2 linked regions of the Tamandua tetradactyla genome follow. Each later gene encodes a partner of the first gene's protein in a complex. Links are inferred from orthologs where the notes say so. Each region holds a gene or a part of one and is shown on either strand. Other genes may lie near its edges.

The links.
Region 2: LAMTOR4 (region 1) and LAMTOR2 share a complex: the UniProt entries of both Homo sapiens proteins name them as parts of the ragulator complex. The link is inferred for Tamandua tetradactyla from reciprocal best matches to the Homo sapiens genes LAMTOR4 and LAMTOR2.

The regions. Positions count from the first base shown.
Region 1 is NC_135349.1:8,406,660-8,413,642, reverse strand, and holds the start of LAMTOR4 (ragulator complex protein LAMTOR4), read right to left. Parts: upstream 3,090-6,983; 5' UTR 3,077-3,089; coding exon 3,023-3,076; intron 2,585-3,022; coding exon 2,504-2,584; exon of another isoform or gene 2,485-2,503; coding exon of another isoform or gene 2,458-2,484; intron 760-2,457; coding exon 642-759; intron 281-641; coding exon 183-280; 3' UTR 1-182. UniProt on the Homo sapiens protein: As part of the Ragulator complex it is involved in amino acid sensing and activation of mTORC1, a signaling complex promoting cell growth in response to growth factors, energy levels, and amino acids.
Region 2 is NC_135330.1:9,089,187-9,096,678, reverse strand, and holds the start of LAMTOR2 (ragulator complex protein LAMTOR2), read right to left. Parts: upstream 3,017-7,492; 5' UTR 2,867-3,016; coding exon 2,799-2,866; intron 2,482-2,798; coding exon 2,319-2,481; intron 522-2,318; coding exon 432-521; intron 188-431; coding exon 131-187; 3' UTR 1-130. Other genes in the region: UBQLN4 (ubiquilin-4), read left to right, coding at 4,027-4,134, 5,636-5,787, 6,134-6,351, 6,926-7,188. UniProt on the Homo sapiens protein: As part of the Ragulator complex it is involved in amino acid sensing and activation of mTORC1, a signaling complex promoting cell growth in response to growth factors, energy levels, and amino acids.

The DNA.
Region 1 (6,983 bases):
GCCCTTGACACTGAGTGCAGTTCCCAAGCCTTTGCCCTCCCAGATAGGGGTGGAGAAGTGGGGGAGCAGAGGGCCTAGTTCTAGCAGCAAGCCGAAAAAGAGGTGGAGGACATATGCGTCTTCCTCATCACAAGAGGCTCATGGACCCAGCTGGCCTTCTCCAACCCTTGCCCTCTGCAGGCTCAGACGTCAATGGGCTCCCGGCTTCGGTTTTGCCTCTTCACGACAAACACCCTCTGTCCTGACACGGTCACCAGCAGTGTGTGTTCTCCAAAGACCACTGGAGGAGAGACACACCTTCCCCCACCCCGGAGAGGGAAGGGAGCACAGAATTAGTGGGGTGCAATGACCTCCAGTGGTCACTCAAACTGGCTGGGATCAAAAGCCCAAGAAATTCTATGGTTCAAGGCTCAGAGACTTGAAGATGAGAGGCTTTCATGAAATCCCCTGCGTTCTCATACTCAACTCTGATGCACGGGAGAACCCCTAAGGGAAGAGGAGCCAGAGTCAGGGACCCCAGGAGATGTGGAAGGTTGTAAGGAGAAAGATTTTTCACCCCCTGAAAAGGAGAGAAGCAGCCTTTGGGAGCGACCCCCCCCCCCCCCCCGACCCTCCACCCCACGAGAGGTGCTACAGCTCACCAGACAGGCGCTTGAAGGGTATGTTCATGCCGTGGTGAAGCCGGAACCCGCAGGCCGTGCTGACCAACTCAGAGATGGCGCTGGCTGCCTGCTCGTCATTCTCTAGATCCCCAGATGACTGCGTGCAGACAGGGGAGGATGGGAGAAATTAGCGAAGAGAGTTGGGAAGGAATTCCACTCACTTTGGCTCTAGCATCTGCAACATGCCCATTTTGGAAAACAAACCTAAGACCTTCCTTTGATGTGACAGCCTCCTTTTGGTGTCATCCTATTTCTCATCCTTATATTACTGGGTTTCACTGAAGAGCAGCGACTCTCATCCATTTCTTTACTGACCACTCTCTCCTAGTCCCTTGAAATATAATTTCTTTCCACATTCTCAAAAATCAATACCTGTCCCTCAAAATGACCACTGACTTGCTAAAAACTCCTCCTCTTTCTTGGTCTTCCATTTGTCCCCTGTCTATGGAGTGTAAAACACAATCATCCTCTTTGTCCTTGAACTTCTACCTCCTCCCCCACAACTGGGTCAGTGATGTGCCTGCCAGTGGCTTGGGCTTCCTCTTTTCTATGCCTGTCTCAACTTCCTTTTCCCACCATATCAATATGGGCCTCCCACTAGGTTAAGTTCACTGTCCTTTGCTTTCTCGGACATCCTGTACCTCAGTTTCCTCATCTGTAAACTGGGGACATAGAGTACATGCCTTACACGCTTGTAAGGAATAAACGTAAGATTGGCAAGATGCTTAGAACAGCTCCTGGTGAAAAATAATTTAATTTACTGTAATTCTACTTCAGACTCAATGCCTGAAGTCAAGCCATCAAAATTTCCCTTATCCTCATCCTCCCCAGACAACTGCCTTTCTCGATTTCCTGTTTCTTAAGGCACACTCATTCTTCAGGGATTCTGAGTTCAAAATCTTACCGGTGAAGTATCTCCTCCATTCCCTATATCCAGTCATTACCAAGATACTGATTCCTCCTGTAAAATCTCTTCTCTCCTTTCTCCTTCTCCTTGCCACCAGCCCAGTCTCACCGCTGGATTACTGCACAACCTCTGGCCTTCTAAACTTTGCCACTTCCAGTTCACCTTCATACCACTAAGCCATTTCATCAGGTCAAGTTTATGTTCAAAACCTTCAACAGCTCCTTGTTCTCAAGATTCAGTCCAAACATGTGAAGCTGGCCCTAAAAGTCCTTCACAATCAACTTTTCCATTACAGTATCCTCTGTTTACTCCAAATCATTTGTACATAAAACCAGTTCAAATAGGTTGGTGTCACACTCCTGCAAATACGTCCAATTTCCAACCCCAAATACTCTCCTTCCCTTCTGTTTGTCCATAACCATCCATCCTTTAAAGCTCAGCTGAATTCTTACCTCCTCTAAGAAAGTTTCCTTACCAAAACACAACATACAAAGTAACACAGAGGGCTGGTTCCTTCATTCTCTGGACTCCTTCAGTAGCCCTTACTACTCACTTTGCTTTCAATTTTTGACATAGCTTCTAAGCCTTGTCTCTTTAGATGAAATGTCTAGAAAGCTCACACTCTACTGTGGTGTGCAACAAAATACAAACCTTCATCAATAAATACAAATGAAGACATTCTCAAAAACAACCCAGCTCGTGTCAGTTATCAACAAGCCTGTAACTAGTTGTGTGACTCTGGTCAAGTCTTATACCTCAGAAAAACTAGCGACTAAGATTCTAGAGATTTAATTAACTACTGAAAGCTTCCTATATGACGGCCACGATACTAGGGAATGAATGCCAACAGACAAATGAGGCTCCTAGTGGCAATGCTGAAGGGATTACCGGGCCACGTATATTAGAGGACCCCATTTAGGTTCCCAGAACGCACCGCCAGCACTGCACCTTCACTCAGCACCAGGTAGCCGAGCTGGTCTGGGATTCGCTCCAGCCCCTGGGTCAGTGCAGAAGTCTAGTGGATGAAGATGCAACCGGTGAGAAGCACGACAGGAAGATGGCTCTCCGTCCCCTTCACCTACTGACCCCAAACAACTTCTCCCGGCGGTCCCGCAGGCTTTTTTTTCCCAGCCGGGACCCTTGGAGACCCTCTTCCCTCCACGCGGTCTTCCCCACTGCTCTGTGCTTTGACTTGCTGAGCCTTCGTCTGTCTTCACAGTCTCCCCGCCCCGGGGCTCCCGTGGCCTTCCAGGTTCCCACCCTGACAGCCCCCAGGAAGCCCTTCGCAGCCCCACTAGCCCCTCACTCAGACCCCTCTCCAACGCCCTCGTGCCCCGGTCTAGCAGACCCCTCCCCAGCCACCGTACACCCTCCCCCAGGTCCCTCTGCAGGCCTCCACGTCGCCACCCCTCCTGTCTCCATTCCCTCCCGGCCAGGGCGGTCTGGGGGTGACCAAGGAAGCTGGGGGACGGGGACCCGAAGCCCCCCGGCGTGTCCTCCCGCGCATGCGTCCTCACTCACCATCGCAGGCCTTAGGTACCGGGGGCGCTCGCGGCCTGAGAGGTAGCTTCCGGCTCCGGACCCAGGTCACGTGCAACCAGTGGGCGGTGTCCTCTGCCCCGGCCGCCGGGCTGAAGCCCCGCCCTAGCATGCGGATTGGGGCCTGGGCTACGTCATCACGCCGGATCTGCCAGTGCGAATCACCGCCTCCCGAGGGCGCGCGCCGATTGGTCAAAGGCCCCTTTTAGCACCTAGCTCCCCGCCCCGAAGCGCATGAGCGGGAGGAGAAGGGGGCGGTGGGGCGGTGGGGCGGGGCGGCGCGGGGCGGCGGGGCGGGGCGGGGCGGGGCGGCGGGGCGGGGCGGGGCGGGGCGGCGGGGCGGGGCGGGGCGGCGGGGCGGGGCGGGGCGGGGCGGCGGGGCGGGGCGGGATGGGGTGGTGTGTTCGTGCGCACTAGCCGCGCCCGAGGCTCTCCTCGCCGTAGGCTGGGCGCGAGTGGGGCCTCAGGCGAGTCCTTTTCACGGTTTCAGACCTGTTCCCTAGAAAACGAGCGACCAGAATGAAATCCCGCACGTGAAAGCTGTTCAGATGTTACTCTTATGCCTGCTGCCGGCACATGGTCCCCGGGTCCTTGGCCCCGCGGTTTTGGTGCGGAGCCTGGGATGGCGGGTTGAGTCCCGGGCCGCCCGACGCGCCTGCGGTGCTGGTTCTTCTCTGCCGGGAAAAGTGAGAGCCCGTGCCTTGCAGTCACTTTTGTATGTTGCACCATCACTACGTGTGTGTAAACAGGGGGGATGCGTGTTTTAACTTGATTGGACAGTTTCCGGACCTGCTACCATAGTGCTGTAGCTAAGGCCTTCTTGGTGAGGTAAAATGAAAGGTGATTCTAGAAATAAAACAATTTCTTGTTGGCGAGGATGTGGAGAAGCTGGAACCCTCTTGCGTTGCTGATGGGATCGTAAAATGGTGAAGCCGCCGTGGGAAACAGTTCCCTGGCTCTTCGGAAAGTTAAACGTAGAAATACCATGTGACCGGGCAGTTCCACTCGAGTATAAGAGAATCGAAAACACGATCACACAAATACTGCCCGTAGCAGCATTATTGGTTGTAGCCAAACTTGGAAACAGCACTAATGATTAATACAGAAATTGTGCTTTGGCCGTATACTGGAAAAGTATTCACCCGAAAAAAGTAATAAAGTTCTGATCGACGGCAGGACATGGATGAACCTTGAAAACACTTTATGCCAAGGGAAAGAAGCCAGACACAAAAGGAAAAATAGTGTATGACACATGTATATGAAGTGTCCAGAGCAGGCAGATCCATAGAGACAGAAAGATCAGTGGTTGCCAGGGGCTGGGGGAAAGAGGAGAATGGGAATTTCTTTGTGGAGTGATGAAAATGTTCTGGAATTCGTGGTGACAGTTACAGACCTTTATAAATATACTACAAGCCACTGAATGTTCACTTGGAAAGGGTGAAGTTTATGGTATATGAGTTATATCTGGATAAAAAATATATGTACTGCTCCTTGAGGGGAAAAGCTAATGTAAGAAGGCAAATGCTTTTTTAAAAATGAGTTATGCTGTCGCCTGCTCTGCGGGAGACATGGATTCGATCCCTGGTCCACGCGCATCCCCCAGAACAAAAATCAAGCAAAGAAAAATTCAACAAATGGTGCTGCAATAATGGGATGCTCATATGGAAAAATAATGAAATGTGACCCCGCCATACAGCATACAAAAAAAAAAAAGAGTTATGGTACATATTTAAAGTTATAATATAAAAATTAAATTAGAAGAGAATGTAAAGAGAGAAGGTTCTGTGGACATGCTTAATTTGCAAGCCCTCCCCTCGCTTTAGACGTTGATGGCATTTTCTGGTACCATTTTCTCTGTGCTTAGCAGTTCACAGTGGCTTCATTCTCCCCTCCCTCCCTCCCTAACTATAGGTAATATCACCCTGTAATATCACCTCCCTTTTGCAGGTGAAGAGAGCACACAGCTGACGGGTGGCAAAGCCAGACTCTAGCCGGCGTTTTCTGATGTTCAGGCCTGTGCTTTTTCAATCGCTCCATGGGCCAACTATTTGTAATTAATTTTTTAGACTAATTTTACCTCCGAACTTCCTGCTTTCCTATTTCTTAACCCAGAGGAAGCCATAGCAGGATAGTACTTGTCACCATCAGCAGCATCTTCATTTTCACGAACAGCTCAAATCATGCTACTCAAGCGGAGAGCAAAATTGTTCATTCCTTTATTCAGTGAATGCTTATGTCACACCTTCTGTGTCCCAGGCACTCTTCTTGGAATGAAATCCAGAAGATTTCATTCTGGAATTGAGGGTACAGGGTGAATAAAAACATGTTATTTATTGTTCTCAAGGAGCTGTGAAGGTGAGCCATATAACAAAATAAGAAAATAAATGTGTTAAATAGTAAGAAGTACTACAAGGAAAAACAAAGCAGAGTTCCACTTAAATCAAGTTTGAAAACGTGCAAAATGAAATAATGTATGGTTTAAGGCTATATGTTCGTGTGGCAAAATGGTAAAGAAGATCCAGGGAATGATAAGCACAAAATTTAGAATAATGGTTACATCCCCGGGGCAGAGAAGGGAAGGGAATCAGGAAGAGGGACAAAGGGCTTCAAAAATACCGGTAATCTTCTGTTTCTGAAGTTCTAAGTCTCTTTTCTATACACACACACTCTCTCTGTCTTCCTCTATTTAATATGTGAACGTTTTAATAGTTTTTAAAAACCTTCGAAACAATAAAATAGGTCCTGTGAACTAGCGTCACCCCAAGTTACAAACCCAGCAGAAATGCGATGAATCAGGTCGCGTTCACACCACGGAATGCGCTAGAGCTATGAGAATGAATGAGCTAAAACCACACACAATGACACGGTGACAGGAATGAGCCTCACAAACTTGGCGTTGAGGGAAAGAAACCATCACAAAAGAGAGCATTCCGTGTGATTCCTTTTATATAAAGCACAAAAAGCAGGCCCAACTAATGCACCCTGTTAAGAATGAGGTGAGAGGGTATCTCTGGGGGAAGGGTTGAGACCGGAAGGAGGCAGATGAGAGGAGGCCCTCTTGGTTGTTCGGTGAATGCTGTTGTGTGTGTGTGTTCGGTTAGTGAACATCTATCTAGTGGGCTGCACACCTGTGACGTGAACTTTTCCTGTATGCATGAATTATACTTTAATAAAGAGCTAAAGAAACAGAGTGGAGGAAGAGTGGGTGAAAAGCTGGGTGGGGATGGGTGTGAGGCTGAGCAGAGAGCCGAGGGAGCCAGCCAGCCAGGCAGGCATCTACTTCTCTGGGGCAAGAACATTCACTCTTGGGAATGCTCATTGTCCAGTGCTTGTTTTGTCTTGGACAATGAGGTCCATGAAGACAAGGACCTGCTTTACCTTTGAAATTGCAGCTTCTACCTCCGGAGCTTGCATGCTGCTAACCTACAGTTCGATTTTTTTTTGCCTTCCCTGATTTTGTACTCCCAGTCTCTCCCAGGATTTCCTCCTGATTTTCAGAGATGTTTTTCTTTGGTCTCTGGTCTCTAACTCCTTTCTTTGCCCTTCCACCATGCTTCCCTCTTTTGCAAGGGAGGAGGCAAATCCTGACAGGTGAATTAACTTCAGTCCATCCCAGAAGGAGAGCTGGGCTTCTCGTTCCTGTCCAAGCCCTTTCCAGATGATTCCAACATTCCCTCTCTCAGCCGATACCCAGAAGTGCAGCTTGACTGGAAGCCACACATCTGCCCATTTACCCCCTCCTCACACCGCCCCCCACCCCCACCCCCAGTTGTTCCATGAGGAACAAGTATCTCTACTGCAGCCCCTAGTGGCTTTTCGCTCACCTGCATATCTCGCCTAAAAGCTGAGCAGCTCGTGGTTCCGGGCTTTGATGC
Region 2 (7,492 bases), on another chromosome or scaffold:
AAGTTTATTCTTGGAAAAAACAAAAAAAAAACCTCTCCTCTCCTCCCCCAGTTCAGGAAGGTTTTCCCAGGGGCCCTGCCCCCCCAAATGGTCATCTCTCCTTTGTGACCCCAGCTTCTGTCTGTGGCCATTAGGATGCCGCTACTTGGGTGAGGGGCTCCTCCAGGTATTGCACCAAGGCCTGGGCCTGCAAGGCGGAGAACAGAAATTAGTCCCACACTGGCTTGCTGGTAGAGGGATCCTGAATCCAGGGTCTACCCCCAATGCCATATGCACAGATCACCAGCCTCAGCCCGCTCATAGGAATTAGCCCACACCAGGCATGCACTGGGTGGATGTGAGAAGGGTAAGGTAGTGGGGCTGGGAGTGGCCATGGTGATGGAGCTTGAAGGCTGTGCCCAGGGTTATGGAAGAACGAGGCACATACACACCTTGGCCTTGAGCATCCCGAAGCCCACGGTCTCCTTGGCATACATACACAGCAGAAGGTTGGCCACTCGGGTGATGGCCACACGGCCCTCCTGGTGGGGGAGATGTGATGTTCTGCTTGGCACCCTGGTCCCTCTCCTCCCACAAGGGCTCCTCTTGCCCCAGACAGACTCTATCTTCCCTCCATGCCTAAGGCACAGAAGGTTCAGCTGGTGGGTGGGGGGCGGGGGGGGGGGGGTGCTCTGGCCATGGCCTTGGACATTAGAGTCCAGAGCCCAGCTTCCAATTTCAGCACAGCCACCTCCAAGTTACCCTGGGAAACTCATTTATCTATCAGAAACTCAGTTTCTTTTTCTGTAATTTCTGTCTCATCCTAGCTGGTGTGGGTACCATCACACATGAATGAGTTTTGTATCTGTAACAGCCTGTCCAAATGGATGACATTATTATGGGCTCAACCCAAAGATACTGAGAGGGGCTTGGGAATAGTAACCCAATTTATGTTTATCTTCTTTTTCCATGACAAGGTTTTTCAAACTGAGGTTTGACCTAGGATTAAATTAATTTAGAAAGTAGATCAGCATTTAAAAATAAAAAAGAAGAGAAATGAAGTGCATTGCATGTTTCATGAAACTTTTGTTTTAGTGGATGCATTTCTTATGGCTAGGTTGCAGTCGCGAATATTTGAAAACCTTTGCCCTATAGCACCAGCTTTAGTCTAGGCACAATATAGGAGTCATCTATTGAACTGAAATGGCCTCTTTGGTTGGACAGGGGATGGGGAAGAGGTAGTCAGCCAGCCGAGTCTCCATGGAGAATCTTTTGGGCAATTCAACCTTGGGGTCTATTCAGTTTGGTTCAGCAGACCTTCATTAGGTATCCACTGTGTGCGGGGCACCAGGTGTTACACCCCTGCTTCTCTGACTTCATTTTCTACTACTCTTTCCCATGCTTATGCCACTCCAACCACACTAACCTTGCTGTTCCTTGACCAAGCACCTTTCTGCCTCAGGGCCTTTGCACTTGTTGCTCTCTCTGTCAGAGAAGTTCTTTCCCTCAACAGCCACATGACTCACTCCCCAAATTCCTTCAGATCTTTGCTCAACTGTAAACTTTTTAGTGAGACTCTAACACATGCCCCCTACAATCTCTATCTCTTTTCCCTACTTAATTTTTCTACATAGCATTTCCATGACCAAACTTTTTTTTTTTTTAACCAAGCTTATTATAAAAAATATGTGACTTTAAGCTTCACGAAGACTGGGGTTTTTGTCTATCCTGTTTACTACTTTCCCTTCAGTTTGGAGAAAACTATATTTACATTCAAGTAAATATTTCTTGAATGTACAGACATGAGTGAGACAGTTCCTATTTCCACGCAGTTCACAGTGGAATGTCCATTTCCTTTTTCTGGATTTCATTTCTTTTGTCTGTAAAAGGAGTTGACTAGGTCCTGGAGACCTTGCCAGCTCTAAGGTTTTGAACCTGGGATGACAGCACCTTGTGTTTGTACCTCACTGTATGGTTGATATCCATTCTTTCATTTGAACTTCACTACAATTGTGTGAGACAGGAAAGGTGGGGGGAAGGAGTATTGTTTCCAACTTAGAGAAGTAAGGAAGCTCCCAGAACTTAAGTGACTTGCCCAAGGTCCCACAACTGATAAGTAGCTGGCAGAGACCAGAACCTCAATCAGACCTCGGGTCCAGGGCTCCCTCCTCAACACCACCTGATGCAATGGGTCCTGCTTACTCTAAGTGCTGTCGCACACCAGCTCTTAGTACTCGTCCAGAGCTCCCGTTCCTGCCCCTCTGACTATCCGGGCGGAATCCGGGTCACCCCGTGGGAATCCCCATTGGAGGACAGAAGCTAGGCTCTTCTCTCCATACCATGCAGTCCATGAGAATGAATTTGAGATTGTCTTCGTTAAACGCTTGGTTCCCGTTCCGGTCGTACGCGGCCCAGATATTACTGGCGATGGCCGCGGTGACCCGGGCATCCGTGTCCCCGTAACCCGAGTAGGCCAGCAGCGATCCCTCGTTATTCAGCAGCCTGGCGAGGGGTGGGGAGGGATATCGGTGTGCTTAAGACAGGGAGTAGGACCTCTGGGGTCCCATCACAACCCCACTACCGGCGCTTCTTGGAAGCAAGTGTCCGGGCCGAGGGTGTTCGGGACCGTGCCCCGGACATTCAAGCACGCCCCGCTTCCCTTTCCGAGAGGGGCCCTCCCGGCCGGTTTCCCCAGGCCTCTGCCCCCTCTGCCGCCTCCTCCCTTCCGGGCGGTCCTTCCCCAACCCTCCCTCAGACAGCCGCCCGCCGCCCGACTCGGGCTTCAGCGCGCGCCGCTCGGGTCCTCGGTCCGCACTCACAGGGTGCTCTGGACGCCTCCAGTGTTGGCTTGGCTTAGCACCTGGGTCAGAGCTTTGGGGCGCAGCATGCCTGCGACTCCGAACCCGGAACTTTCGCACACAGATCCGCCGAGGTGCCGCCTGCTGGCCTCCGCCGGCCACTCCCGGTAGTCCAGCCGCCCTGCTCCCGACCGCCCTGGGAGTTGTAGTTTCCCGGCCTATTGCGGGTCTGACTCAATACCCCCGCCGCCGCGGAGGCCTCTGGGAGTTGTAGTTCCTGTGCGGTCGCGGGGCACCCTGGGAACTATAGTTTGCCTTTCCAGTCAGACCACGCGGTTATGGGGGAAAAGAGCGGGAGTAAAAGGACAGAAGTCCTACAAGGAGGTTTAACTCCTTCGGGGAGAAGTCGTCACGTCCGCTTGGCAAACCACGGTTCAATAATTTGAAAAACCTTGTAGTTATGAAGTACACCTTTGGTTACTTTTCAAAGCAATGTCCTGTGTTATACACAATTCTTTTGGATGAGGCGATAGGTACTATTATCTTGAGGAAACCGAGGCTCAGAAAGACAGGAGGAAACCGAGGCCACGCAGATCAAACCCAGGTCTCGGGAACCATATTTAACAGTCCTTTATTAAGGCCCCATCCCTCGGGAGGATGGGGACAGTTGTAGAGATGAGGTCCTAGGTGGACGTCCCGAGGTGGGAAAATTCAGCCTTCACGTCAGGAGGGAGAAGGCCCAGCCTTTGGAGAGAACTGGGCCTCCCGAGAAGGACCAAGTTATCTCACGGAGCAGAGATAAAGCGGCGACACAGAAGGTCCTTTGTCCCGGCGCGGGAGTGACCCGCGGAGGGGGCGGGGGCAGCTTTGGGAAGGACTGGACCTCCCAGCGGCTCCGGGAGGCTGGGGCGGGGCCCCCGCGGCAAGGGGCACGCCCCCCGCCCCCGCCCAGCGCCCCTCCCCCCACCGCCGCCCGGCGAGCCCCAGAGCCGGCTCCCGGGCGCAGGGCTCGGCCCTGGGCGGACCCGGTGCAGTGGCCCCCCCGGGCCGCCCGGGGCGCTGTGGCTGCGGCAGGTCCGGAGCGGGTGGCGAAGCCTTGAGGAGAGGCGGGGAGAGGGGAGTGTTGGAGGCACCCGAGCCGAGCCGGGCGGGCCGGGCTAGCGGGGAGGAGGAGGAGGAGGAGGAGGTGGAGAAGGAGGAGGAGGGGCCCGGACGGGCTGGCGGGCGGCCGGGTGGCGGCGGCGGCGGCATGGCGGAGCCGAGCGGGGTTGAGACGAGGCCCCCCATTCGGGTCACCGTCAAGACCCCGAAGGACAAGGAGGAAATTGTGATCTGCGATCGAGCCTCGGTCAAGGAGGTAGTATGGGTGGCGGGGACCGCGCGCCGTGGAAGGGTCTGCGGAGAGATGGGGGGGGGGGGGCGGTCCTGAGGGACGGTCGGGGAGTCCGGGAAGATCCCGGACAGGAAGGCGAGGGTCCAGCCGGAACCCCGAGGAACGGTGGGGAAGGAGATGCTGGTAGGGAGCGCCCTACGAGGGTAAATCCGGGGAGCATGGCGTGTGCTGGGGGGGACGGGGTTTGCCGTGGGGCCAGGACTGGGGGCGTGGTGGAGGGTGAGGAGGGGGCCCCCTTGCACAGAGAGCACTCTGCACTTGCACAGAGACGGGAGAAGAACCCTGGGTTACTGGTCGGGGTTCGAGGCGCTATGGCAGAGTAGGGAGTCCAGGCAAGGTGCTGAAACAAGAGAACGGACGCAGGAGAGCACCGGGTGCCTACTCTATGCCTCAGAGGAGGCCCACCGTTTTAGGAGAAAACCTGGGGTAGTAGGGGGCGGATTTTCCTCTGCCCAGATTCTTTCAAATTGAAGTGGTTTCCTTTGGTGGTCAGCTCCTCTAGGGTTTGTGCAGTGTGCAGTAGGTGCTCAATAAAAATTTGTTGAATAAGTGAATGAGGGAATATTGCCTCTGTTTCTCACCCCCAGTGGCTGCTCCAAAATTTCACATAGGCGGGGCTTAAGATAGGCCATCTGGTTGGAAGGGAGGGCTTCTGGAAGCTGCCTTTGCTTAGCAAGTGCACTGTTTTTCCTCAGAATGATTGTTATTTTTTGTTGGGAGTGTGCTGATAGTTGGGGAGTCTAACTCTCCCCAAGCTAGCCCTCGGTGCCATCCCTGCCCCCCAACTTTATAAAATGACTCTATTCCAGAATTTAAATTCTTTCCTCTGCGAAGCTGAAATTTAAATCAGTTTTAATTGAGAAGCAGTGTGTCCAGGCCGTTGCAAGCGTGGGCTTGGGTGTCAAGGCCTGAGTCCCATTCTGAGCAGAGTAAATTGCCTAATCTCTCTGATCCTTAATTTTCTCAACTTTCTAGTGGAGATAATATCTCCCAGGATTTAGACTGTTAACTGATGAATATCAAGGGCTATTTGTTGTTGTAGTTCAAAGATGGCTGAAGCAGAAGCTGGGAATAAAGAAAGATAGAAAGTTGGAGTCTGAGAAGAGAAGGCTGAAGGGAGACGGGGCCTGGGTCTAAAACTGTTGAAGGAGTTGGGATGGAGAGGGCTGCCCATTTAGCACCCTCATAGGGGGTTGGGTGAAGGGATTGAAGGTAGGATGTCAGAGCAAGGGCTTTTGGGGTGGAAGACCTTGGAATATAGCTGAGAGAGGAGCCTCTCACTGGTCCATCTTGGTTAAGAAAGGAGCTGCTTATTGCAACTGGAGGGGTGGAGAAGAGACTGCAGAAAGAAATTCCCGTGACTAGAGTGGGAGCAAGGGTATGCCAGAGGCTCTTGGAGAGGGGCAGGGTCCCTGGTGGGTCTGGGCTGGCAGCCTCCTCAGTGACCTCTGCCTCTTGGTCACAGTTCAAAGAGGAAATCTCTCGGAGATTTAAGGCCCAGCAGGACCAGCTCGTCCTGATCTTTGCCGGAAAGATCCTCAAGGATGGGGACACACTGAACCAGCATGGAATCAAGGATGGACTCACTGTGCACCTGGTCATCAAGACTCCTCAGAAGTAAGTTCAGAAGATGAGCAGGCCCAGCCTCTGACTAGGCCCTCCTTTCCCTTCCCCGTCTAACATTTTCTCACCCATGGCTCAGCTGGACCTGGACGGCCTGTGTCAAGGATGTCCTGCCTGGCAGCACTATGATATCACCTCTAGGAGAAGGGAAATTGACTTACTCCTCCCACAATGCCCTGAAGACAGATAAGACTAGCTCCTTCCTCCCTCTCCCTGGTTTACTGACCACCCCTTCCCCTGCTGCTGCCTCAGGGGCCCTCAGCAGGTAGCTTGAATCAGAGCAGTGGCTTCTCTGTGTGCCCACTCCACCCACCTAAGAGTCTCCTTTCTCTGTCCCCAGGGCTCAAGATCCGGCTGCTACGACTGCTTCTTCCCCCTCCACTCCAGACCCTGCCTCTGCACCTTCCACGACACCTGCTTCGCCCGCCACCCCTGCCCAGCCCTCTACCTCTGGCAGCACCACTTCAGATACTGGCAGTGGAAGCCGAAGGAGCAGTGGGGGCGGTCCCTCCCCAGGGGCTGGGGAGGGACCCCCCAGTGCTCCCGCCTCCATACTCTGTAAGCCCCTAGAAAGGAGAACACAGTCCTACTTGGTCTGGGGAGTGAGGGAAAGCCAAGAGCAGGCAGAAGGATGGTCCCTGCTCTGGTCTGGTGGTCTGGTGAGGGCGGGGGGCTTCTGGACATAGGGTTCCAGACCCTGGTATTCAGCCAAGACCAGTGTGCGAGGGCTTCCTGAAGGAGGGGAACATGGCTGAGTGTTAGCAGTAAGGGGAGAAATGGGGCTGGGGATGTGGAAAACCCAGGTCAGGATTTTGGAAGACCCCGTGAGTTTGGGAAAGTGGTGGACCTGGCTGGGGTTAGCTAGAGAATATTTATTTGTTCATTCAACAAGCCGCCAGTGGTTGCCCACGGTGAGCTAGGTACTGTGCTCAGCTCGGGGTAATCTAAGCTTCTACCATCAAAGAGGTCTTGGCTAGTAAACTGACATCTTGCCAGCCGTGGATCACGGCTGGGACTATGGGAGTAAGTGGAAAAGGGAGATATGAGAGGCAGAGACAGATGGGGCCCATTCTGGAGACCAGGTTAGGGAAGGGCTATCGTGGCAGATGGTGACCCTGCCCCCTCCCCACAGCTGGTTTTGGGGGCATCCTGGGGCTGGGCAGCCTGGGCCTAGGCTCTGCCAACTTCATGGAGCTGCAGCAACAGATGCAGAGACAGCTGATGTCCAATCCTGAGATGCTGTCGCAGATCATGGAGAACCCTTTGGTCCAGGACATGATGTCTAACCCTGACCTGATGCGTCACATGATCATGGCCAACCCTCAGATGCAACAGCTGATGGAGCGGAACCCCGAGATTAGCCACATGCTCAACAACCCTGAGCTCATGAGGCAGGTGGGTATGGGAGAAGGTTGGGTTGAAGGGGGATACCTAGAGCCCAGGCATTCCCTACCTAGCCTATTCCTGCCTTGTCCTACACTGCCTGATTGACTGATTCATTCATTCATTAATTCGGCAGCCATATTTTAAACCCTGGTGTACAGTGATGAAAATACACAGGCCTAGCTTTGCAGAAGTTCCTGGTCTCAAAGGGAAGTGGGATAGGTAAACAGGTATTTCAGTGTGGTTGGTGTTACCCATAGGTACAGTTCAGGATCCCCTCAGAGCACAGAGAAGGGCTCCTCACCCTATCCTGGAG